4 linked regions of the Nothobranchius furzeri genome follow. The protein of the gene in region 4 purifies or fractionates together with the protein of the main gene of each other region. This does not show direct contact. Links are inferred from orthologs where the notes say so. Each region holds a gene or a part of one and is shown on either strand. Other genes may lie near its edges.

The links.
Region 1: the proteins of sod1 (region 4) and park7 purify together in Homo sapiens (affinity purification with mass spectrometry; 4 studies listed by BioGRID and IntAct, with this or other methods). This does not show direct contact. The link is inferred for Nothobranchius furzeri from reciprocal best matches to the Homo sapiens genes SOD1 and PARK7.
Region 2: the proteins of sod1 (region 4) and eno1a fractionate together in Homo sapiens (co-fractionation; 3 studies listed by BioGRID, with this or other methods). This does not show direct contact. The link is inferred for Nothobranchius furzeri from reciprocal best matches to the Homo sapiens genes SOD1 and ENO1.
Region 3: the proteins of sod1 (region 4) and tpi1b purify together in Homo sapiens (affinity purification with mass spectrometry; 3 studies listed by BioGRID, with this or other methods). This does not show direct contact. The link is inferred for Nothobranchius furzeri from reciprocal best matches to the Homo sapiens genes SOD1 and TPI1.

Annotation. Positions count from the first base shown.
Region 1 is NC_091743.1:63,724,539-63,730,266, reverse strand, and holds the start of park7 (Parkinson disease protein 7 homolog), read left to right. Parts: upstream 1-1,948; 5' UTR 1,949-2,059; coding exon 2,060-2,149; intron 2,150-2,612; coding exon 2,613-2,714; intron 2,715-2,981; coding exon 2,982-3,041; intron 3,042-3,458; coding exon 3,459-3,528; intron 3,529-5,728. UniProt on the Homo sapiens protein: Multifunctional protein with controversial molecular function which plays an important role in cell protection against oxidative stress and cell death acting as oxidative stress sensor and redox-sensitive chaperone and protease.
Region 2 is NC_091755.1:28,666,173-28,671,945, forward strand, and holds the start of eno1a (enolase 1a, (alpha)), read left to right. Parts: upstream 1-2,270; 5' UTR 2,271-2,408; intron 2,409-4,314; 5' UTR 4,315-4,327; coding exon 4,328-4,412; intron 4,413-5,773. UniProt on the Homo sapiens protein: Glycolytic enzyme the catalyzes the conversion of 2-phosphoglycerate to phosphoenolpyruvate. In addition to glycolysis, involved in various processes such as growth control, hypoxia tolerance and allergic responses.
Region 3 is NC_091745.1:74,101,776-74,107,432, forward strand, and holds tpi1b (triosephosphate isomerase B), read right to left. Parts: upstream 4,116-5,657; 5' UTR 3,956-4,115; coding exon 3,847-3,955; intron 2,647-3,846; coding exon 2,523-2,646; intron 2,443-2,522; coding exon 2,358-2,442; intron 2,284-2,357; coding exon 2,151-2,283; intron 2,034-2,150; coding exon 1,948-2,033; intron 1,863-1,947; coding exon 1,775-1,862; intron 1,703-1,774; coding exon 1,584-1,702; 3' UTR 1,061-1,583; downstream 1-1,060. UniProt on the Homo sapiens protein: Triosephosphate isomerase is an extremely efficient metabolic enzyme that catalyzes the interconversion between dihydroxyacetone phosphate (DHAP) and D-glyceraldehyde-3-phosphate (G3P) in glycolysis and gluconeogenesis.
Region 4 is NC_091750.1:63,536,580-63,542,114, reverse strand, and holds sod1 (superoxide dismutase [Cu-Zn]), read right to left. Parts: upstream 3,275-5,535; 5' UTR 3,196-3,274; coding exon 3,124-3,195; intron 2,319-3,123; coding exon 2,222-2,318; intron 2,089-2,221; coding exon 2,019-2,088; intron 1,895-2,018; coding exon 1,780-1,894; intron 1,661-1,779; coding exon 1,553-1,660; 3' UTR 1,323-1,552; downstream 1-1,322. UniProt on the Homo sapiens protein: Destroys radicals which are normally produced within the cells and which are toxic to biological systems.

The sequences.
Region 1 (5,728 bases), on a different chromosome or scaffold from region 4:
TACTTGGTAACAAACTGTAATTTGTGAAATTCCCTCATTTCAGTTTGAGGGTTTTATTTTTGCTCCTTGGGTACGGGGAGAAAAAAGTTCTGTTTTCTTGTCCCCCCTGAGGTTTGAACCCAAAAACCCTTCAGGTTTGTAAGCAGACCTCTGTGAGCAAGCAGATAAAATATATTAACTGAGCAAACAGAGGCAGGCCTGATGATGAGGAAGCAGAGAAGACGTAAGATGCTAAAGAAGGGCATGTTCTCAGCTCAGACTTTATTAAAGGTGTGGTTCACTGAAAAAAAAAATTTAATGATTATTTTGACAGAGCAAACAGAGTCGGTGGTAGAGTCATGTTGCTATTAGCCAATCGGAGGCAAGATGTCCAAATATCAGGAAATAAGACTCCAAATCCTGTCGTGTTGTGCCACTCTCTGCTGCAGCAGACTTGTCCGTGATGATCCAGACGCTTCTGGGCTTTCGTTGCCCCGAGTACGGCTTGCAAGGCATTAATTCCTACCAGAGACCACTGCAAGTGTACTGGCTAAACAAGTGTTCTACGCCTTTAACACATACAATGCTCACAAATCACCTCATCTTTCCTACCTAATATTACACTTCTGGCTGCATAAAGCACAAAACAAAATTAATGCCTCATTAGTTTTACACCTTCTGCATCATTCACACTTGATTTTCAAACTTTTCCTGGAGCAAATTGTTGAAAGAGAGCAAAGGTGTGCAATGAAAAAGTCTCCTCTTAGTGTTACATGTATTGATAGTTTTTAAAAGTTACTGGTGAGAATAAGCTGAAAAGTGCAAAGCAAACAAACTTCTTTTTCAGTGACTGTTACACTCGAGTTATGTTTTCAGTCACTTACAGTGGCTTGAACCTTTAGATGATTAAACCCTGTGCAAACACTTCCATTCATCAGTGGTTACTGTTTCCTTTCCTGTGACTCATCCTCAAGTCACTTTTGAAACTGGATCCCAGTCTAATCATGCGTTTGATGATAACACACTGAACAGAATTAGTAATTGTACGTAAGTGAATTAATGTATGGAAATTTTCTCGAGTGTGTTCGCGGGTCTGGTGCAGTTGATCCCCAGCTGCATATGTTGGTAATCACAGCTGCTTCTTGAATTCACTCACAGGCACGCAGCGAACAACCTGCTGGCAGCAACTCCTCCGCTTTTGTCTAATCCGTCATTTCACTGGGCTCTGAGTTGGTTAGAAGAATATGACAATGAATCTCTGCAGCAGAATACACATAGGCAAATTAACAAGGATGTGTGCCTGCACACTAAAGCCCTTAGACATCAAGTCTGGGATTTACATTGGAATGCGGATCTCTAAGTCTCTCAAGAGACTGGAACAGAAGTTTTCGCACAGACTTGGAAAAAATAAAAACTTTTTGCTCCTTTAGAGCTATTTTACAACATGGATTAGTCTGCTCAGCTGGTACTGTAAAACACAGTGAGCTGGAGACAAAACTAATGACTCAATTGAAAGCTTTTCTTTTAAGATTTTGCCAACAGTTAAAGTCCAAGTTGCAAATAAGTAAGAGACATGAATATTTCTAAAGCTCCAACAACAAAAATTTCAAATATTTAATATTTACTATATGTACCCTGGCACCCTCTGCTGGACAAAATATGGTATGGTATCATCTATTATTATTATTATTATTATTGTTATTTTTGTCATTATTATTATTATTATTATTATTATTATTATTATTATTATTATTATTATTATTATAAGGGAATCAGTCCAATCTTTAAATTGAAAATATGAATTTGTGTTTTCCATTCAGAGGTCAGAATGTTACACAAATAGTGGACTGTAAGTAAAATTTGTACAAGAATTGTGTTTACATTTATTTCAGAGTATAAACACCTTTGATGATTTAGTTGACATGTTTTTGTGCATGTGGAGCTTTGCCTTTTTGGAAGGGGGATAAATTGACGGATCTGGCAACCTATTCCTCCCGTTGAAAGTCTGCATTGGTCTGTACGTCTGCTGCCGCAGTTTTTAGCGTTTTAGTTCCTGCAGAAGTATAACTGTAAGCTAACTATGGCAGGGAAGAAGGCGTTGGTAATCCTGTCTAAAGGTGCAGAGGAGATGGAAACTGTTATTCCTGTGGATATAATGCGCAGAGCCGGGGTTTGTACTTGTTAACTTGTTGTATGCTAACAGTTAGCATGCTATGGTAAACAAAAGTAGCATGCTGCGGTTCATAGCTAACCCATAGAACTGACCTTACAGCAGACACCGGACCGTATGCTACAATTATGTTTAAACATAGTGGTTTATTAAACATTGATTGTGACGGTAAAGAAAATAATTAATTTGAGATAATGAGTGCTAACACTTGGTCAAGCAATAAGCAGTTTTGTCCTGCAACTATTGTTCTCCTTAACCTCAAAAGTTGAATCCCCTTTTGAGCTTGTAGTTTGTAAATTCTAGACGAACCCCCAACCTTTAGCGACTCCAGGCAGAAGCCAAGTTTAAATGTCAAAGTCCAACCTCTTTTTACCTTTCAAAATAAAAGCCTTCGTTGACCATGACGCAGGATGCCATGTAGTCCTGTTACTCTGGAGTTGTGATAACATTTTCATATTTGTAGATTACAGTCACAGTTGCAGGTCTGACGGGGAAAGAGCCAGTCCAGTGCAGCAGAAACATTGTCATCTGTCCTGATACAAGTTTGGAGGAAGCCAGCAAACAGGTAGAGCATTAAGACAAGCAGTCACATGTTAGGGAAACATCTCATGAGATGTATTTGTTGTGGGACGATGATGTGTATCAGAGCAGTTCCTGTTAATTTTGACGTTGATTCTACCAATTTCTGGATCATGGATCTAAAATTATAAGAATAAAGGAAATACATCAAAGAGTTACTTGAATTATATTTAGTTCTAAATGTTCAAATCTTTGTCAAAGATAACTTAGATTTTTTTAAAGACAGGTAATACTCATTTTGTTTGTGTCCAAGGGCCCATATGATGTGGTTGTCTTGCCAGGAGGAATGCCAGGTGCTCAGAATCTGGCAGAGGTGAGAAAATACTTACTTTTGACATTTTCATTGGCCCTTGTGCTCAGTGAGCAGCCACATGGCTCTAGAATTATTTTCATCAGATATGGTTTGCATTTGAAATCGATAGAATAGAAATAAAAACAAGTTTTTAACAACTTTTACTGTAAAGTATTTCCTTATGCTGAGTCGCATTTCTTTTGCTGAGTAGCTTGCAGATCATAATTGTCAAATATTGCATTTTTCTGCTGTAGCCCTTTCTAAAATTGTGATCAGAACATCCATAGCTGAAACATTTGATTTGCAGAAAGCTCTGCATAGCGGATACTTTTAAACACACTGCCTCTTTGTGTTATTACAGAATGGCCAGTGAATATGTATGGAGGGCCACATGGCCGCTAAGTGACTCTGTGTGCATCTGTTTTTCCTTTCTCCCAGTCGCCTGCTGTGAAGGAGGTGCTGAAGGATCAAGACAGCAGAAACGGCCTGATTGCAGCCATCTGTGCAGGTACAGCTTGTGAAAACAATCCAGCCATAATTATACACATTATCTAATAGATTTCCCTCTCTATGGGTTAAATATGGTGTGACCTTAATCTTGACAAGCATGTCTGGGACTAAAGAGATTCAGATTAATTAATTAATGACCACACAACAAGTTGGTGGAATTTGTTTCCTGTGCAGCACGACATGCTCACAACTCTGTGTCTACACCTGACGTAACTAAAAATAAACAGACAGGGACATACAAAAGCTTTAGGCAGTTACTTTATTTGGTGACCGTATAGCTGTTGGGGATAAAACTGTATTTGAATATATGTGATTTTGACTGTAAACACCTGTAGCGTCTTCTAGAAGGCAATAGTGTGAACAGATGATGTGCAGGGTGAGAGGGGTCCGAGGGGATGTTTCCTGCCCTCTGTGTGATGCGTCATGGTACAGCGTGTCAGTGGAAGGTAGGGTATGGCCTATAATTTTAGATGATTTGACTGTTATGTGTTGTTGTTTTTTACGTGAGTTGGAGTCCATATTACCATACGAGACTACTATGGGTGAGGTGAGTATAGTCTGAATGATGGCAGTGTAGAACTGTACAAGGACGTGGTGCATTTGTACATGGTTTGTAAAGGTTGATTGTGCAGTCACTGAGCAAGAAGCATCTGACTACGAATGGGATGGGCAGCCATCCTCTCACGCCTAGTGAATGACACTTTAGGGTGGCCAGTTAATGAATTTTGAAGTGCACAGAGATGGACTTTCTGATTTAAAGCTGCAAAGGCAAATCTGCAAAACAAGCTAGCTTTTAAACACAAAAATGGTCACAGAACACTCACCTCTCCCATCGGCTACTATCCCCTGGCCACGCCCACCTGATATAGGAATCCACGTGCCAGGGGACACGAGAGAGCGCAAAGCACCAGTTACCGTTTTCCAGGTCCAAACGTCTTTTGTTGACTTCAAATGGTGTTTTTCTTTTTGGGACTCTGGTAGATTGTCCTAAAGTTGAAGTGGTAGCAGCCGGCTGTTTCTCCTTCTCTGATATTACTGAGCACCTCTCACACCAGTGACTGGAGGACCCAGGTAAATGCAGAAATGCGGTGGCCCAGTGAGACAAACTACTGGCATCATATACGTATGTAGACGCCTCATAGACTGGCGCTCCCCATAGGAGCTGACGTATTAGCGCAGCTGCCATCTTGGATAGGTTCCTATTTGCCCCCAGTGCATTTATTTCTACTGAGAAAGGTGTTCACCCAACTACAGTAGTCCATTTTGTTAGGGTTTGTAAGAAAACCAGATCTGTGGTGTGACATGATAATAAAAATATAAATGAATTAATTTTATATTTTAATAAAACATATGTTTGAGTGTTCATTTGAATTTATTCCACTCACTTTCTCCCTCACACACACACTGGGGCTGGGGAGCTAAACTTGACAAAAAACTTTGTGGCTGTGCTGTCACGCTGTAACTCGGTAGTTAATATCGCAATGTGGTGCAGCCTTACTTTCTGATATAGAGACAACAAAAGACTTGAGCGTGAAACAATGATTTTCAGTTCAGAAATATTAGCAAATGGAGACAGAAGATGTTCCTCTGACAGTAAGCTGATGGGGCCACTAGCGAGTCACCATAACAGACCATCAGCATACCTGTATGTCTCCCATTAACCTGAGCAACTCCACTGTTTCTAACCCTTTTTCTTGCCTGCTTCCCGTATTAGTAATTTGAAGAAAAATTTCCCATTATGTTCATTCTGAATTAGCCGCAGAAATAAAAATAGATGGGGGAATACTCGGACCAGAAAAAGCCACACAGATTTACGTCATTTTGGAAATTTGCATTCATTAATTCATCCCTTATGGCTGCCGACTGGAAGGCTGTATTGATCTTGCAGCAAAAAAAAGCGGAGTGTGTCTCGGCTTGTTGACGCTAACTATTAGCAAGTACACAACATGTTTGGGCTTGTGTTATTTGTGGAAATAAAACATTAATGTGGCATTTTTACCCAAGAAAGGAGTGAACGGAGGCAGCAGAATAGTCGCAAGGCATTCAAACCATAACTCTTTGTCACCTGAGAATTTAATATTGAAAAATACTTCACTCTCTTCTTGCAACACTTTTTAGGTTGAACCCTCCTTGTCATTCTGCGTGAAAGGTTGTGTACTTGATTGTGTCCCTGAGTAAACCCGCACCCTCTGTATTTG
Region 2 (5,773 bases), on a different chromosome or scaffold from region 4:
TACCCTCCTTTTTGTTTTTGGCCATATTATAACCCAGGAAGAATGACCTATAATGTTTTTAAAATGTTGACTGTGAATGGGAAAAATGGTTTTCATGTTAGTGAACTAGACCAGTGGTTCCCAACCTTTTTCCCAAGGGACCCCGTTTTTTACCAGTAAAACTTTTGATGACCCCCTCCTATTCTCTCTTCCAGTACAAACATTATTAAGAAATGATAAAATTGTTCAAGCACATTTTAATATGCTTTGATTCAATAGATAACAGTAATAGTAGGCTCCAGTACAGAACAAAGTCATTAACAAAACCAAACAGAGCATAATGTGCTTGACAGTTTGTATTACTTTTCTGAAAACATTGTTTCTTGTAAACACTGATAAATCAATCATTCCTTTCAATAAACGTTAAAAAATACACTGAGCAAAATGTACTTAAATGTGTATATTACTGTTTATACTAGATTATTTACTGTAAAGGCTGTGATTAATCAACCAGTCCTATCTTTAATGAACTTTTGACACTTGAAAATAAAACAGTGAGCTGAGCAAAATGTTCTTAAAAGTGTGTTACTTTTTCTGTACTAATTATTTCCTATCTTAATATCAGTAAACTTTTCACTCATGAAAAAAATGGGAGCAAAATGTAGGCTATAAACAAGTAATAAATGAAGTTTTAACCCCTTAAAGTGGAGAGGTCCTTGCGACCCACTGAGAGGCTTTGGCGCCCCCTTGTGGGGGTTGGGACCCCCAGATTAGGAACCACTGAACTAGACCAAATTCTTGCTTTGCAAAGTTTGTTCTAGGAATGCTCCACTGGAACCTCTGCAGCCCCTAACAGCATTCTGGCTGGCCAATCACAGCTCTCTAGAGGGGTTTCAAACACACAAAGAGCTGTGATTGGTCCATAATGGTGGGCCAATCGTAGTGCTCTATCTGCTTAGCAGGGGTGGACTGGGACCAAAATTCGGCCCTGGCATTTTTACGAATCGTCGGCCCTCCCCATTGGGAGAGCGTTGGGGGTGGGGGATGTTGCCGCCCGTGGACTCGTCTCTAGGCCGAATGAGAGTTCTAATATGAACTGGGACTGTTAAATTACAAGCATGGGCAGACCGCTGCGACTGGGAGCCCTGGCCTTCTAGATCAGCTCATTCCCCATGGGCGGAGATCAGCGGGACATTAGCTACATGCTAAAGCGGTAAAACAACTTATACGTCATCGCTCTAACGCGTTTTTCTAGCTAAAAATGACTGGAAAAACTCTGGTAGCTTCAGGTTTTCATATAGCTAATGTTCTGCAGATCACCAACTGTGAAGTGGTGTCGGCCCAAGCAGGGTAAGCAGCCCACTTGGCTAAGTGGCCCACCGGGACAGTGCCAGAATGCTAGATAGGCCAGTCCACCCCTGCTGCTTAGTGAACAAATCACAGAGCTTTATCCGCTTTGTGGGCCAATCAGGGCACTCTATATGCCTGGTGGGTGGGATGATGCAACAGAGAGAAACAAGAGTATGTCACATTCTTTGTCCAGTAGCATGCGGCGATCATTTGAAAGACAACGGTAGAACCCACCCCACAACCGAGAGCCGTCAATGGAGCGTTGCCAGACTAAATAATACATTTATTTAGTCTGGCTTGCCAGGCTAAGTGAAATGTTCAATTTGACTAGAAACCATCCATCCATTTTCAGTCGCTTACCCGAAGTCGGGTCCCAGGGGCAGCAGCCTAAGCCGGGACGCCTAGACTTCCCTCTCCCCAGCTACTTGAGCCAGCAATTCCGGAGGAATACCCAGGCGTTCCCTGCCAGCCGAGAGACATAGTCCCTCCAGCGTGTCCTGGGTCTTCCCTTGGGTCTCCTCCCAGTTGAACGTGCCCGGAAAACCTCACTTGGGAGGCGTCCAGGAGGCATCCTGACCAGATGCCCAAGCCACCTCAGCTGGCTTCTCTCAACATGGAGGAGCAGCGGGTCTACTCCTAGCCCCTCCCGGATGACCGAGCTTCTCATTCTATCTCTAAGCCACCCTGAGGAGAAAAATCAAAGCAATTTGGCTAATTGCTATATGGCAAAATGGCTTGCCATATAGCAGTATTCAATCAGCTTCCTACCTCTAGCTGAAGCCTATAATTCCCATAATTCATTGTTTGAGAGCGCTTCTCATCTCTGCGCTCCTGTAGGGATGCTTTTTTAATCAGAAAAGCCGCATCCTCCTGCCCTTCATCCGGGTCCTCTAACTCCTATTAGTGAACGTGCGCTCCTCCTCGCGCTCCTCTACGTAGTGTCTCTCTTCCAGCCAATAGCGTCGCACCGTTCCTGATTCCGACCACTTATCTTCCAGCTCACAGGGTCACGAGCGCCTTCTCTGCCTGCTTACCCGAGAGACTGAGCACCGTCCTTGCACACAGTTAGGCCGGAAAAGGTAACCTTTACCGTTGTTTTTCTCCTTTCCTCCTGTTTTTCTTCGATTAACAAACATTTTAAAGCTTCGTGTGGTTATTGTTAAGCCGAGTGTGCTAATAAAATCACTTTACTGCTTTTTAAAATTACTACACGATGGGTTTCCTCTTAAACGAAATCCTCCGCGGTTTGTCCTTGTCGGTGCTAGCTAACTGTCGAATATTTTGGTAGCTCGATCACGTTTGATTCCTTCATCTTGCTGTTGTATTCAGCAGGATGGAGCGATTTCTTTAACTCGTCGTCTATTTTTAAACAACGCCGTCAGCTGGCGAGATATCTCTCCATTTAGAGCTGAAGTGTGTGAGGGGGAATGGGGTGTCCGGTTGCAAGGCCACCTTGCAGCAGACCGTATTCTTCATTTTGACGAGGAGCCATTATTTGTGACCCTCTTGTTTCGAATAGGAATTTCAAAGCCACTCGTTTTTTTGACCACCGGTTGCTTGCAGCATACACGGAGGTGTGTCCACCGTGTCAGGGAAAATTACTGAGGGGGAACAAGCCTGCACGGGCGTCTGGGTTTCCTTCATTCTCCCAAGCTAATGAGTCCTGTGAGGATTCTTGCATCTTTATTAGGACAATCAGAGAAAACGCTGTAAGTCCAGTAGAGGAGTTATTTTATGCTTTAAAACTAACTAAATAATCCACATCTAACCCAGTATGAAGTAATGATGTCTCGAATTAACTGATTTACCAGCTGTAAAATAATTGTTCTGGATTATTCACGCATTTCTGTCTTGCATTGAGTAATGATCAGAAAATGCACATTTATTTCAAGACGGGTTGTCTGTGGCTGAATGGATAACATGTTGCTAAAGGGGGGACATTTACAGGAGTGGTTCACAAATAATCCAAATAGTCAAGGGTTTTGCATGTTCGTAGTAGTTAACCTGCTACAAAATTTGGTCTGCATATGTTTGTATTTTAAATATTTTAATGAAAAATAAAGTCCCACACACTTAATAATAAAACAGCCAAACTCTGGGATAATGGTTTATCTAAAACTGATCTTATTCGTGAACCATTTCACAAAGTGATCCTGAAGATTTGTGCTAACGTTACGGCACATTTGGGGACTAAGATTTGGTCGTTTAAATTTTAAAGCTTTGAGTTTTGATACCCAGTCTTAAAAAAACACTTCCTCTGTGAATTTGTCTGTGGCACATTTCCACACAAACTTTTAAGGATTGCCTTTTCCATTAGTTTTAATTAAGCTGCACTCACGCTTGACTTTGCAGAATATGAATTTAGGGCGAGTTGAGTAGAACAAACACAATAATCAATATAAAACTGCAGGCGTCATGGCCCAGACAGTCTGGCATTACACTGTTTGACTTCCACTGCAGAAATGGAGGTGACAAAAGCTCTGAGATTAAGCCTGCAGTCTGTATCAGAGCGAAGCTTGTTACAAAAAAGGCCAAACATTGCACTGGTGCCAAATCACGTTCCTATTTTGCACATTTACGCTTAAATATTGATATTGTTGCATAATTCTTGACTTTACTGGGGCAAACATTTTGCAAACTATTTCACAATCGGAAGTGGTTTGTGAACTCAGTTGACCTGCAGAGAATTTTCTAGTGCTGCAGAAGCCACACCCCGCCCCGACTGAAGCAACAATCATTCTGTTCGGATCACATCAGTCTGATAGTGTGCAGGTCTCATTTATTTTAGTCTTCAAGAAGATTTACAGCTGATCAATATTTCCCCAGACTCCTTTTTCACATTGAGTTTTATTGTAGGTGTGCTGCAGAGCATTTATATTTTTTGCCAAGTCACTGTTCACTGGACCATTAAGTATGCGAGTGCCCCTGTAGGGAGGCCTGAATGGTTGCAGTATCGGTAATGAACTTTTGCTCTCGTTTTTGCAGGAGATCTGTAACAATGTCCATCCTGAAGATTCACGCTCGTGAGATCTTTGACTCTCGTGGAAACCCCACCGTAGAGGTCGATCTGTACACCAAGAAAGGTTTGTAAGAGCTCTTATGATTTTCTGTACAACCTTCAGGTGCTGAATGACTTCCTCCTTAGACATGGGTAGTTTAGTTGTTCATTTTTTGAATCATTTAATCAGAATTGGTGATTTTTCCATTAAACCTGAATATTTTATGAAGTTTTAGGCTTATCTTTCTTTTCATAGTTTACTTGATCAATCTGGGGAAAAATACAAACTTCCTAGTTGTTCTGCAAGTTTGAATTTTCAGTGCAATCAGAATGTCTTACTTTGCTAATTCATAATTTGTTATTCCCCCTGAAACATACAAAAGTGGATATTTAGGTCAGGTTTGTGCTTGGTTACTGCTGCTGGCCCAGAGTGGATGGCATTCATGAATGTGTGAAAATAGCTGCTGTAACTTGACATGACCTCCACAGCTCACAGCTACTGTAATGGTTCCTGTTTGGGAGCACACAGCTCATACAGTACACATCAGTAGCAAACCACATCAGCTGATTATTAAAATTCAAATGACTAGAAACCTCCTCTTCTGAAGTGATGTAAAATTAGCTTCTCTGGATTATGTGACTACGCTGCCTAGAAGTCATCTGTACTCTTTTGTACGAGTCCTCTAAGGTCTGGATCAATTCATTTCATAATGACCCATGGTTTTATTTATTTGTTTTGTTAAACTAAACAAAGGGTTTGCTCGACTTGCTTGACACATCCTGAGAATGTTAATGAAGCAACCTGAATGGTCACTGACCTGGAAGTGAGTGAAACTGGTCAGTGTCCTGAAAACGCTGTCTGGCTGTTCTGCAGCCATCTCTTCGTGAGTTTGGCTGGTTGTTGAGTGCTCTGTTTACTGTAAATGTCTGATTTCTTTTTGCACAAGATTCCCTTTTAAGTCCAGCAGCCCAGCTTTGACATCATTAACGGCGAATGTCTGTTTTTCCCAGAGGTTATTAGGTTTTTGCTCTGTTAGATGTTTACACCCACTGATCCTGTGTGGTGGGGTAAGAATTTTATTAAAATTTTGTGACTAAGTGCATTTGTTCTGCTAATGAATCTTTTGCTGTACTTTGAAACTTGGCAGCTAGTGTGGGATAGCACTTGATTGTGGGCCTGATGGGCCGCTGCCAGCATCCTCCTGCTGCCAGCTGGTGTGGAGCTGCAGATGATTTGTCAAGCATTAACTGGGCCCGGGCAGTGGCTGTGTCCCATGCCCTAAGCACTAAATCCCCTTACTCATCATCTTTGCTGCTCCACTGAGCAAAATGGAAAAACTTATTTTCAATATTTTTTTAGTTTCTATTCACTCTTGGGACCCAACAATGACTATCCTCTTATGTGGGCGTGGTTTAGTATCATGCCACAAATTCACTGCACATGCT
Region 3 (5,657 bases), on a different chromosome or scaffold from region 4:
CCCACATTGGTGTTGTAACCACAATTAACTTTTGACATAAATTTACATAAAATGCTAATAATTTGTGAAAAAACACATTTTTGATCCTATTATTAGATATTATTGGCAATTCAAATAAAGTGCTCTAATTAATTCAATTCAATTAAAGTTTATTTATATAGCACCAAATCACGGCAAGGGTCGTCTCAAGGCACTTCACATAGTAATCTTTCCAATACAGGTTAGTTCATTAAGCCAATCAGAAAAAAATTTCCTATATATGGAACCCAGCAAATTGCATCAAGTCAGCAATCCTCATACTAAGCAAGCATTTAGCGACAGTGGAGAGGAAAACTCCACTTAAACAGGAAGAAACCTCCAGAGAATCCTGGCTCAGTATAAGCAGCCATCCGCCACGACTCACTGGGGATCGAGAAGACTGAGCACACACACACACACAACACCAAAATAAATATGTTTGTACCAATACCTAAAAATATTTGTACTAATTACATTTTTGGTAATTCAATACGTTCTCAATCCACATTTTTCTTTTTCTGACCTGCACCTTTGGATCAAACATACCAACTATAGGTTGTAGCAACTGAAATGTCTCAGGTTGTCCTTTTTGACCAAGTTTAAGGCATTATAAATATTATACTGTTTTTGTCTGTACCTTATCATGCATTTATCAGTATCCTTTAGAGATTTCAACATGCAGATATTCCAAAACTAATACAGATATGGAAGAAAAGCAAACATTTACTCAAAACTTGGTTTAGTGCAAACTAGAGGAAACATTTAACCTTTAACACATTTCCTCAGAGAGAGACACGCCGTCTCGCACTGAAAGGATCTAAACAGCGTTTCTGCTTTAAATTGGCTCTGATGAGGCCATCTTTAGTTGCGCAGAGCAGATAAAAATAGCAACGAAGATCTCCCCGGCATTGTCCCTGCAGGAATAAGACACCATGCTGACAGGATCACTACACTGCATGAACCCTCAGCTGTTTGAGCAGTGAAATTAATCTGCGTCTTTAAAGCATCTGATCAATTTGGGACAAAAACTCTCACACTGAAACAGTCTCTAAACTCTTTATTATAATATTTCCTCAAAACCGTTCCACTTCGTTTACATTTCGGCTGTGACACAGAAAGGTTAACGCGACAGGTACGATCCTCTCGGCAACACGAGAAGCACATCATGCACATCTACGGGGAGGTCAAAGTAACAGATCCACAAAAATAAACAGACAACGGTACAAAGGCGAGTAAACGTGATCGACAAGAGCGGTGACCCTGTTCGCACAAATAAAGGTTGTAAACGTTTCAAGTGAAGGCGTGGACAGTCGGTCCACCTCTAGGTGTCAGCCTTTAGCTCGAGCACTTGGTGTGGGAGTTCGTTCGGCCGTTCTCAGTAGAATCATCAGTGCAGAATGGTGAACGTGTCAGCCTGTCCCTTTTTTTTTTAAATATTAAAACTAAAGAAAAAAGGAGGAATGACAACATTACACAAATACTTTTAATAAAGACAAGGAAGAAGTACTGGAGGTTAAGGGGCGAGGGGACCAGATCATCTGAATGGAAGTGACGCTGCTGGGATTTTACGCCTTGGCGTTGATGATCTCAATAAACTCAGGCTTGAGGGAAGCTCCGCCCACAAGGAAACCATCAACGTCCTTCTGGGAGGCGAGTTCCTTACAGGTGGCACCAGTGACAGAGCCTGAGGGGCAGCGGCGGTTAATGAGACGGCATTAACGCAGGAAGAATGCGGGACGTTTGTCCGTTTACTCACCTCCGTAAATGATCCTGACAGAGTTAGCTACAGCCTCAGAGACGTTGGTCTTCAGCCACGCCCTCAGCTTCTCATGAACTTCCTGGGCCTGAGAAATCACACAGGAAACTTGTTAAACACTGCCGCCCTGGTGGTCCTCAAGCAGGAGTATTTAGTTGTTCTCCCACGTCTACCTGTTGCGGGGAGGCGGTCTTGCCTGTACCAATGGCCCACACGGGCTCATAAGCAAGCACCACCTTGCTCCAGTCCTTTACATTGTCTGCCAAACAGATAAGACCACAGATTTAGCAACTTCTCCAGATTAAGGGAAAACGTATTGCTCCATTTGGGCTTTTTCCTCCCGTGCACACGAGTTTATATAAAAGAAGCTGCATACCTGCAATGACTTTGGTCTGAGCAAACACCACCTTCTCCGTGATGCCTCCTTCCCTCTCATCCAGCTTCTCACCGATGCAGGCGATCACGCCGAGACCGTTCTCCAGAGCGTGAGCCGTCTTCTGACCAATAAGCTAACGTTGCACAGGAGGACATTCAATAAACACGCCGTTTAATCCTCTGTGAGATTTAAACTGTTAAATCTTACCTCATCGCTCTCTCCAAAGACGTGGCGCCTCTCAGAGTGTCCCAGGATCACCCAGTTCACACCACAGTCCTTGATCATCGCAGGGCTGGAGGCAGAGAACGGATAAGACTCACCGCAAACCGCTAGATCCACAGAAAAAGGCTGGACAGGTTTCTACGGCACTACCTGATCTCCCCAGTGAAGGCACCCTTGGGAACCTTGTAGCAGTTCTGAGCTGCCACACCAAACTTGGCATCCAGCTTGGACCTGGTGAAGTCCAGGTAGATGGATGGAGCGCCACACACCACCTCTATTTATGTAGAAGGTTACATAGTCAACAATAAAGGCTTTTTATTAGCTTTAGGACTAATTCCTATAAATATTGAAATAATCTACGATTTTTGTTTTAGAACAAAACACATTCAAATAATCCTTAAACATGGTCCCCCTGTGTGAATACAAGACTTTGACACAAGTACAGTGAAGTCCAGACACTGACATTCACATTGTAACTGTATCTTTGGGGTTACGAGGAGCTAAATTCAGTTTGGTAAAGGTCATTTGTCCCGAGCCAGAGTCAACAGCAGTAAAGGTCTGAGTTCAGTTTCTAAAAAGGTCAACTAAAGGCTTGCATTCTGCAGAGGACGAGACATGGCTTAAACCTGGGTTCAAAAGGTCAAATGACCAACATGATGGACATTAGAACAACAAGGCAAAGCCTGTCTGGCACTGCAAGGGAGGTGGACTCATTTAGGGGGCAAGGTCCAAGGACAGTATGAGCAGTTGCTCCTGGACAAGCGTGGAGCAGGTAGATACAACGTTAGGGTTGCATAATAATGCTGAATCGCAACAGGTTTGGTTTTGACACAAAGTCTGCGGACCCTGCAGTGAAGGGGGGAAACAGCTGCTGCTGTTTTTTCTGGTTTGCAGAAGCAGATAGTGCAGACGATGCGTTCAGGTAACGATAGGGAAAAATAAAAAAACACAGACTCAGACATTCACGCATGAGCAAAAGGTAAACATGCACATTGATTTTAAACGTATATAAATTGTATTTCTGTTTTAATTAAAACCTCTGATCTTTTACTAGCTTTGTTCTGTATATTTAGCCAGCAGGCTTTGGGAAGCATCAGTGACCAGTGCTTGATCTTGAATGCATCCCGGGAGCTAGCGTGACTACGTGCAGCTGCAAACGCACACCCACCTCCGACATCACCGAAAAGCTTCTCTGCTCGCCCTTCACCTGTACCCCTTCATACTTTTCTGTCTATTTTAGGTTAATTAAACTCGATTCAACACGACAATATAACGACTGTTTCTTTTTAAGGGCTTTTAAAATCATTGAGGAGGAGATTTGTGATGCTAAAGGTGTCCTTGTTTCATGACTGAACGAGCCATTTTGAAAATATATCAAAAATCGTTTTGAAAGAGAAAAAATTGACGAACACAACGGGGTTAGGCTGAAAGATTCAACGAAAGTTTTAACTCGGTTGTTAAAATCCACACATACCGACATTAGCGTCCACCTTTCCTCCGTTCAGGGTCTCGATGAGCTCCCCGAGGCTTTTCTTGTCTCCATTCATCTTCCAGTTTCCACCGACAAAGAATTTCCTGCTCATGTTTGCGGGTTTTTGTTAGGATTTACTAGAGAATTAAACTGGACAGTACCACGACGGGGACCTTCTCTTTCGGGGCAGAGAGCAAGCGTTTGATGGCTGCTTTACCTATTTATACGGAGGGAATTTAACACCGCCTCTTTGTCAGTATACCGACACACCATTGGCGTATCACGGAACGCCGATGAACGCATCACCGCAGCAGGGGAAGAGGAAGAGCGAAATGTCATGCTGCGTTCAAGTGCTGTTTGAAAAGTTATTTACACAAAGATAAACCACAAAAAATACATGTTTTAATTGAATGAAAAAGATACGTAGTTGTTTAAATAACTAAAAACAGTTCGAAAAAACTAAATAGCAAAAATTTAGCTCACTTATGCATAAAAATCATAACTTGATGAACTGAATGTATTGTGATATCACCTAAAACGTGTTTACATCTTCAGATACTATCTGTGATAACATTTCCACATTATTTTGTGATTTGATAGCTGAGATAAAAGTACTACATTACGAATTACAAACTAAACTGTTAAAAGCACAACGAAAAAGAGTATTCTACACCTGAAAGAACTGTTTCTCAACTACTGAACACATCACATAATTTGTATAAATATGTTTAAGTTGGATATGTAATTATTTTATTTTACGTACGAAAGTAAAACAAATGTATTTGAATCATGTGCAAAAGTGTTTCCATTTGAGCATTTATTTAACGCTTTCACTTTGAATGACACAGTAATGCGCTTTTGGATTGGTCATGACTAGTGACCCACCTAGCCCCGCCTACCTTTAATGACAACTGAAGAACAGATGATCTGGTTGGACAGATCACGGAACTTGTATTTACATTTTACATACCCAACATGCATTGCGGTTAATCTCAAATATTATACTTGTAAAACACATATAAAACACGTTTGAAAGTAACTTTTTGTATTAAATGTTGTATTAATTTACTTTTTATAATGTACTTTACTATCAGCTACTCTAACTGTATTTTGTCAAACCGTAACAAGAATGTATGTGTCCCTTTTATTAGTATGGTTGCGGAGCCGTTTCAGGTTCAGGATAATTTGCTCTTTAATATTTATCTAGCAGGTTTCTCATAATGAGAAGCCCCTTTAATTGTGAGAAGCAACCTACCTGACTGGTATTGTAGATAACGACTTAACAAAACAGTTTCTGTCTCCAAATAATGTGGTGCACATGTGCATACTTGCGCAGTATAAGCTTGTTAGTCTGTCTATTAAATGTCTCTCAGTTTATCTCAATAAATTAAAAAAAATTAAAAATTCTCAACATCATCATAGCTTTAAGATATTTTATTTTTCAAATGGATCTTTTTCGTTAAAATCCGGTGAAAAACTAGCCTTGAGAACTAGACCAATTTCTTGCTTTGCAAAGTCTGGCTTGCCAGGCTAGTGAAAAACAGATTGCCTCACCTTTACCCGTGTTACTGTAGGGCACAAACAAGCCCCTCCCACTTTCCTCAGGCTATCCCAGTAGCCAATCACAATGCAGTTACTCTTATTCACATCCCGGGGCCTTGCATTTTCGGCTTTTATTTATTACCAGTCACTCAAGCGCACAACGAGTTTCCTACTTGTTATGGTTCACAGAAGGAGTTTTTGTGAAGTTAAATAACGCATGATACGAATAATTATGGGCCAGTCATTTTAATATTTCTTCTAAATTGTCATTG
Region 4 (5,535 bases):
CGCAGGGGAAAAAAACTCAATCTCTCATTTCTCCAGAAAGATCAGAGGCAGGTCAATTTATCTAAGGAAAATACTTGGAGGATGCAATTTTGAAAGTCATGCGCCTGCTATTTGTTGGCAGTGATGAGTACATCGCTCGTGTATGTGTTGGGGCACAGCTGTTGAGTTTGCTGGATGGATGAGATTCCAAATCAAACTGTTATATTTCAGAAGGCTGACTCCTAACTGGTCTAAAATGTTAATACAACATAAAGTTTGCTTTGAGAAACTTATTAATGCAATATTTTATTTCTGCTTTCCCAGTTAAAATTAAAAACATACCAGGGTACGTAGGTATTCTGACTCTAGTATCAATCTAATTGGAAAAATAAATATTTTTTCCAATGAAGAAAGTGAATTAGTTAAAAGGATGAGTAAAAGTAACAGATTAGCTAGTTTCCTGCTGGTTCCATTAGCTGTGTAGCGTCGCCCTCATGAGGAAGGGAGCAGCTCACTCACGCACCTCAGTTTTCAATGGTCCCATTGATTTTTAAGCATTTAGTCAAACACAACTTAAAGAAAAATCTTTGCCAAGATTAAACATTTTAATAGCTTGCTGAAAACTATGAAGCTTCATTTAATTTCTTGTAAACAGGCTGGTTTCTAGGATGGGCAGTGGTATGATTAAAAATTTGTATTTACCTTAATATTCGTGGAAAACTAAAATCACATGCTGGCTATAATTTCCTGGCTCATACAGATCTTTGGTTCTGTGTAAACAAATACTAGTATTGCCACATTTATATTAAAATGTTATTCATGCAAGAGCAGGTTCGATTCTGTAATTTGGCAAATTTTTTGCATAATTAGCCAATTTTGTCAGAAATATTACTGAATAAATTTTTTGAACATTGCTAAACAAAAGTATTTGCTTTGGTAGGACTTTGGATAGCTTAATATCTAAACTAAATTAGGACTCCTGCTCTGAGCTTTGAGGAATAATCCATCAAAATCTAATTTAACCCTTTGATGAATGAATTATGAAATCTTCAACCATGATTTTTTAAACATTGTTTCATCTTTAGGTGTGAATGAAACAAATTTCAGCAAATAGTAATATTGTTAATTTACAAATAATTTATTACATGTCCAACTCAGTGGACAGCGTGCATTCTGAACATAAAATATGTTGGCTTGGCTTACTGAAGTCCAAATGAGGGGCTCAATGCAATAAAATCTACAACAGCTGTGCTTAATAGCAAAAAATAAATAATTTTGAATATCTGTCCACTGTAGTGACCATTATGCAGCAAAGGGTTAAAAAAAACACAAGACTATTTACATCATTTGAGGCATTTATGTTTTTTAATAACACATCTGGAAGTTTGTGCGCTACAAAGTCTTGAGTCCTAGTCAGTGGACATAAACCTACTCAAACAATTTAATTAGAAAGGAAACTGGGCAGAAAACAGGTTAACAGAACGCCACAAAGTACCGAACTGGACCGTTTCATTAAGTAGCCGTGTTGGTCTCTTGGGGAATATAGCTTATCCAGTGCTTTTACATTGCAGATTTACTGGGCGATGCCAATAACGCCACAGGCTAGACGAGCTCCAGCATTTCCAGTCTTCAGGCTTTCTTCGTTTCCTCCTTTTCCTAGATCGTCACGCTTCTCGTGGATCTAAAAATAAGTAGTTTTACATAAGCTACATTTTTATTGGGGACAAATTTAGACTAAAATCCTTAAAAAAAATAAAATTAAACAAAAAGGGAGGATCACAAGCCCAGATGAAGACGTACCACCATGGTTCGACCAATGATTGAGAGAGGTCCTGAGAGTTTGATGACGCTGTCTGTGATGTTTATCTTGGCAACATTCCCTTCAGCAGTCACATTCCCCAGGTCTCCAACATGTCTGATAAAAAAAAAAATTGTATCAGATTATAATATATTACAGTCAAACTTTATAAAAACAAAAGCATATCAAATACAAATAAGTGAATAGGTAAAAGTGATCCAGCTTCTCATGAGGGACTCGCCTTTCTTCATCTGCAGGACCGCCGTGATTCTTGTCAAAAGGATTGAAGTGAGGCCCCGCGCTAATGCAACCTGGTAATAAGTAAAGGTAAATATTACAACTCTGGGAAGCTTTTATGACAGCAAGCAAGTGCACCTAGATAGGAAATGTTAACAGTTAACTGAAAATTTGGGGGGAAATGTGGAAAAACATGCAATTTCTCACCATTTGTGTTATCCCCATATACATGGACGTGGAAACCATGTTCACCATCAGCAAGGCCACTGATTTCCCCAGTCACTTTAACAGGGGCCGATTCATTCTAGGGGACACAGGCGGTCATGATAATGTAAGTAAATATTATCACGCACGTATAACAGAAAAAAGTCAAAGAACTTTGCAGGCAGGAATAAAAATACTACAGAAAAGTTTAGATACGTCATGGTCAGACGGTAGAGAGTGACTCAGCAGAATTTTAGGGAGGAAATCGTGTTTGTTTTGACTTTAATGGCTGCCTCTGTGCAGCGATGTCTCCGAGCTGCTTTGTGATGACAAAAGAAGAAGAAGCTGCTAAAAACAGGAATTATGAGTGACTGTGGTGAGAGATCCCTCCTGGGGTCACTGAAGTCAACATTACCGTTGGTGAGACGACTGAAAATTACGCAACAAGCGTGTCCACTGTTAATTATTACCATTCTGCAGACTATAAAAGGTTAAAGGTTATATTTTAACTAAACATTTTTCCATTTCAACCACGACAGCCACGTCGTGCCAGCACGAGTAGAAATGTTTGAATTCAAAGTGTTATCTAGAACTTGCTGCACGCGCACCTAACATTTCTACGGTTCGTTGAGCAACTAGTTATCTAATTGCATATGAATTGTTTTATAAACTAAGAAAATCAGAGCAGATGTATCAAATATTCCACTATCTGAAAGTCTGAGGTGTAAATATGTCGCTAACTGCCAAGTTAGTCAAGAGCTCCTCTAAAAATGGATGACATACTTATGTTAGCTAGCTTAGCACAAGACAACTACGGCATCCGTATAGTGTTTAATTAAGTTGAATTTTATGTCCTCTTCGCGGACTACAACCTCGTTCACTTCGTGCATACTGTGACATCTTACCTCTTGCTCAAAGTGAACGGTCCCGGCTGTTTTGTCAGCTCCCTTCAACACACACACAGCTTTCACCACCATCTTTGCAGCAACTCACGAGTAACTATCGCGTCACGTGCCCCCTCGAGAGTCACATAAGAACGTCTCAAGTGGGCGGGTTAATTCAGTGATAGCCAATGAGAAAACGCGTGGTTTAATTGGCTGGCAGGAAGCACGCATATATGTCGATGATCAACACATTTGTCTGCGTTCATGTTTTGGCAGTTTCGTTCTTTAAATGTTATTTATTAATAAGCTTAGTTTATAGTTGATTAAATCTCGTATGATTGTAAAACATACAAAATAATTATAAATATTGAAATTACTCTTTTTTAGTGACTGCGATAGATAGATAGTTAGATAGATAGATAGATAGATAGATAGATAGATAGATAGATGGATAGATGGATAGATAGATATAGATAGATAATACCTTTATTAGTCCTACACTTGAGAAATTTCATCGTTGCAGCATCGACAGTACAGTCAGAAAAGCAGGTAAGATTAAAAAAAACATAATTTTATTTAAAAAAAAAACAGTAATATTAAAAAAAACTAACAAGAGAAAACCACAATCTTCCTCATTCAACAGCCAGCTGCAATGGCCTCATAAAATCTAAAGCCCCATTCCCACCTGTACCGGGTCGGCCCGGGCCGGGTAGCATAGGTTGTTTACATATCTGGGTGGCCTGGAATTTTCCCGGGCCAACCAAGGCTCATTCTCGGCCCTCTTCCCGAGGGGTACTGCTTCAGGCCGACCAGGGCCAACACACCCACTGCTGACAGCAAATTCACACCTTCCATTAGAGCAAGCCTCTGATTGGTGGGTAGAATCAACCCATTCACACCTTCCATTAGAGCAAGCCTCTGATTGGTGGGTAGAATCAGCCCACATGGGCTTAAGGCAAGGATGTGTGGAATCAACCGGGCCAGGCTGGGGCCGACTGGGGCTACCCGGCCCGGGCCGACCCGGTACAGGTGGGAATGGGGCTTAACCGCTGCTGGGAGAAATGGTCTTCTGAACCTTTCCCTCAGCGGTGTGGATGCAGCAACCTGCTAGTGAAAGAGCTATTCAGTGCTGCCAGAGTCCAGTGCATGGGGTGGGAGATGTTATCCATCAGAGAAGATAGCTTGGCCACCATTCTCCGCTCAGTCACCACCTCCACTGGGTCCAGAGGGGCTCCAAGAACGGAACTGGCCCTCTGGACTAAGCGAGTCTTGATTAATTTGTACCGTATTTTTAAAGTTATTTGAATTTTTTACACTACTTATGCAGAAAAATAACTGACTTGTATTCTTTTCTCAGAATTTAGTTTGGGTAAAACTCAACAATGCAAATCATAAAACTATTAATGGCATAAAAAAGAAGCAAGAAGTTGGTACAAAAATAGTTTATTAAAAACAATTTCCTATGGCTGAAATATTGAAGATTTCATATCCACATCTTTTATTTTTAAAAGAAATAGAAACATCGGTCAATTTTCAAACCACTAGGAGTTAAAAACGTTAAAGCAACTGGTCTCGGTTGATCTTTTTTTATTTTTGTGAGTCAATGTTTTGCTTTCAAATAAAACAAATCACAGATTATTAACAACTATTACAAGTAGGTAAAAGCTTATTTACAGCATGTTCTGGGCAGAACCCTTCATTTATTTTTCCATCACTTTATGGGTACGCCTTTCTGTTGAACTGCCCCGCAAACTTTATAATTCTGGGTTCAGAATGAAATCAAAATATGGTCTTCAAAAAAAAGTCACATTTTAATATTCTGTCAAACAGAAAATATTGGTTACTTTAATATTTTGCATGCACTAAAAGTCAAATTAGTGGAACAAGTGATAATGTCTGAAAACAGGAAAGATAAATGGAAAAATAAAACTTACAAAAAAAAACATTTCAGTCCTTATGCAAGGTATTTGAGTCCTTTTTTTTCTAAACACAATGACAAAAACAACATTTTTTGTAAGAAATACTTGTAATAAATGACCCAAACCAAGACAAGGTTTTGCAAACCTTAACTTTAGTAATTTGTCATTCCATCCTTCCTCCTTTTGTTTCCTGAAAATAAAAACAGACCAAAGGAACACCAAATTCAACAAGTTACGGTGTAATTTAATGTCCGTTAAGTTTTGATGTGCATAAATTTTGAAAAACTGACAGCCAAGATTTCAAGAACTGCAGAAGTGTACTGCGTTCACCCCACCCCCTCAAAAAAGTTCAGATTTGCCGAATTAATGAGATCAATTTTACAGATAAAGAATAAACTTTTAAAATTTTTGGAATGAATGTAATACGCTTCCATAAAGAACAAATAGAGTAAAAACAAAAAAATTATGAAAAAAACTGCTATTTTGGAACAGCTGTCATTGATAATTAGAAATT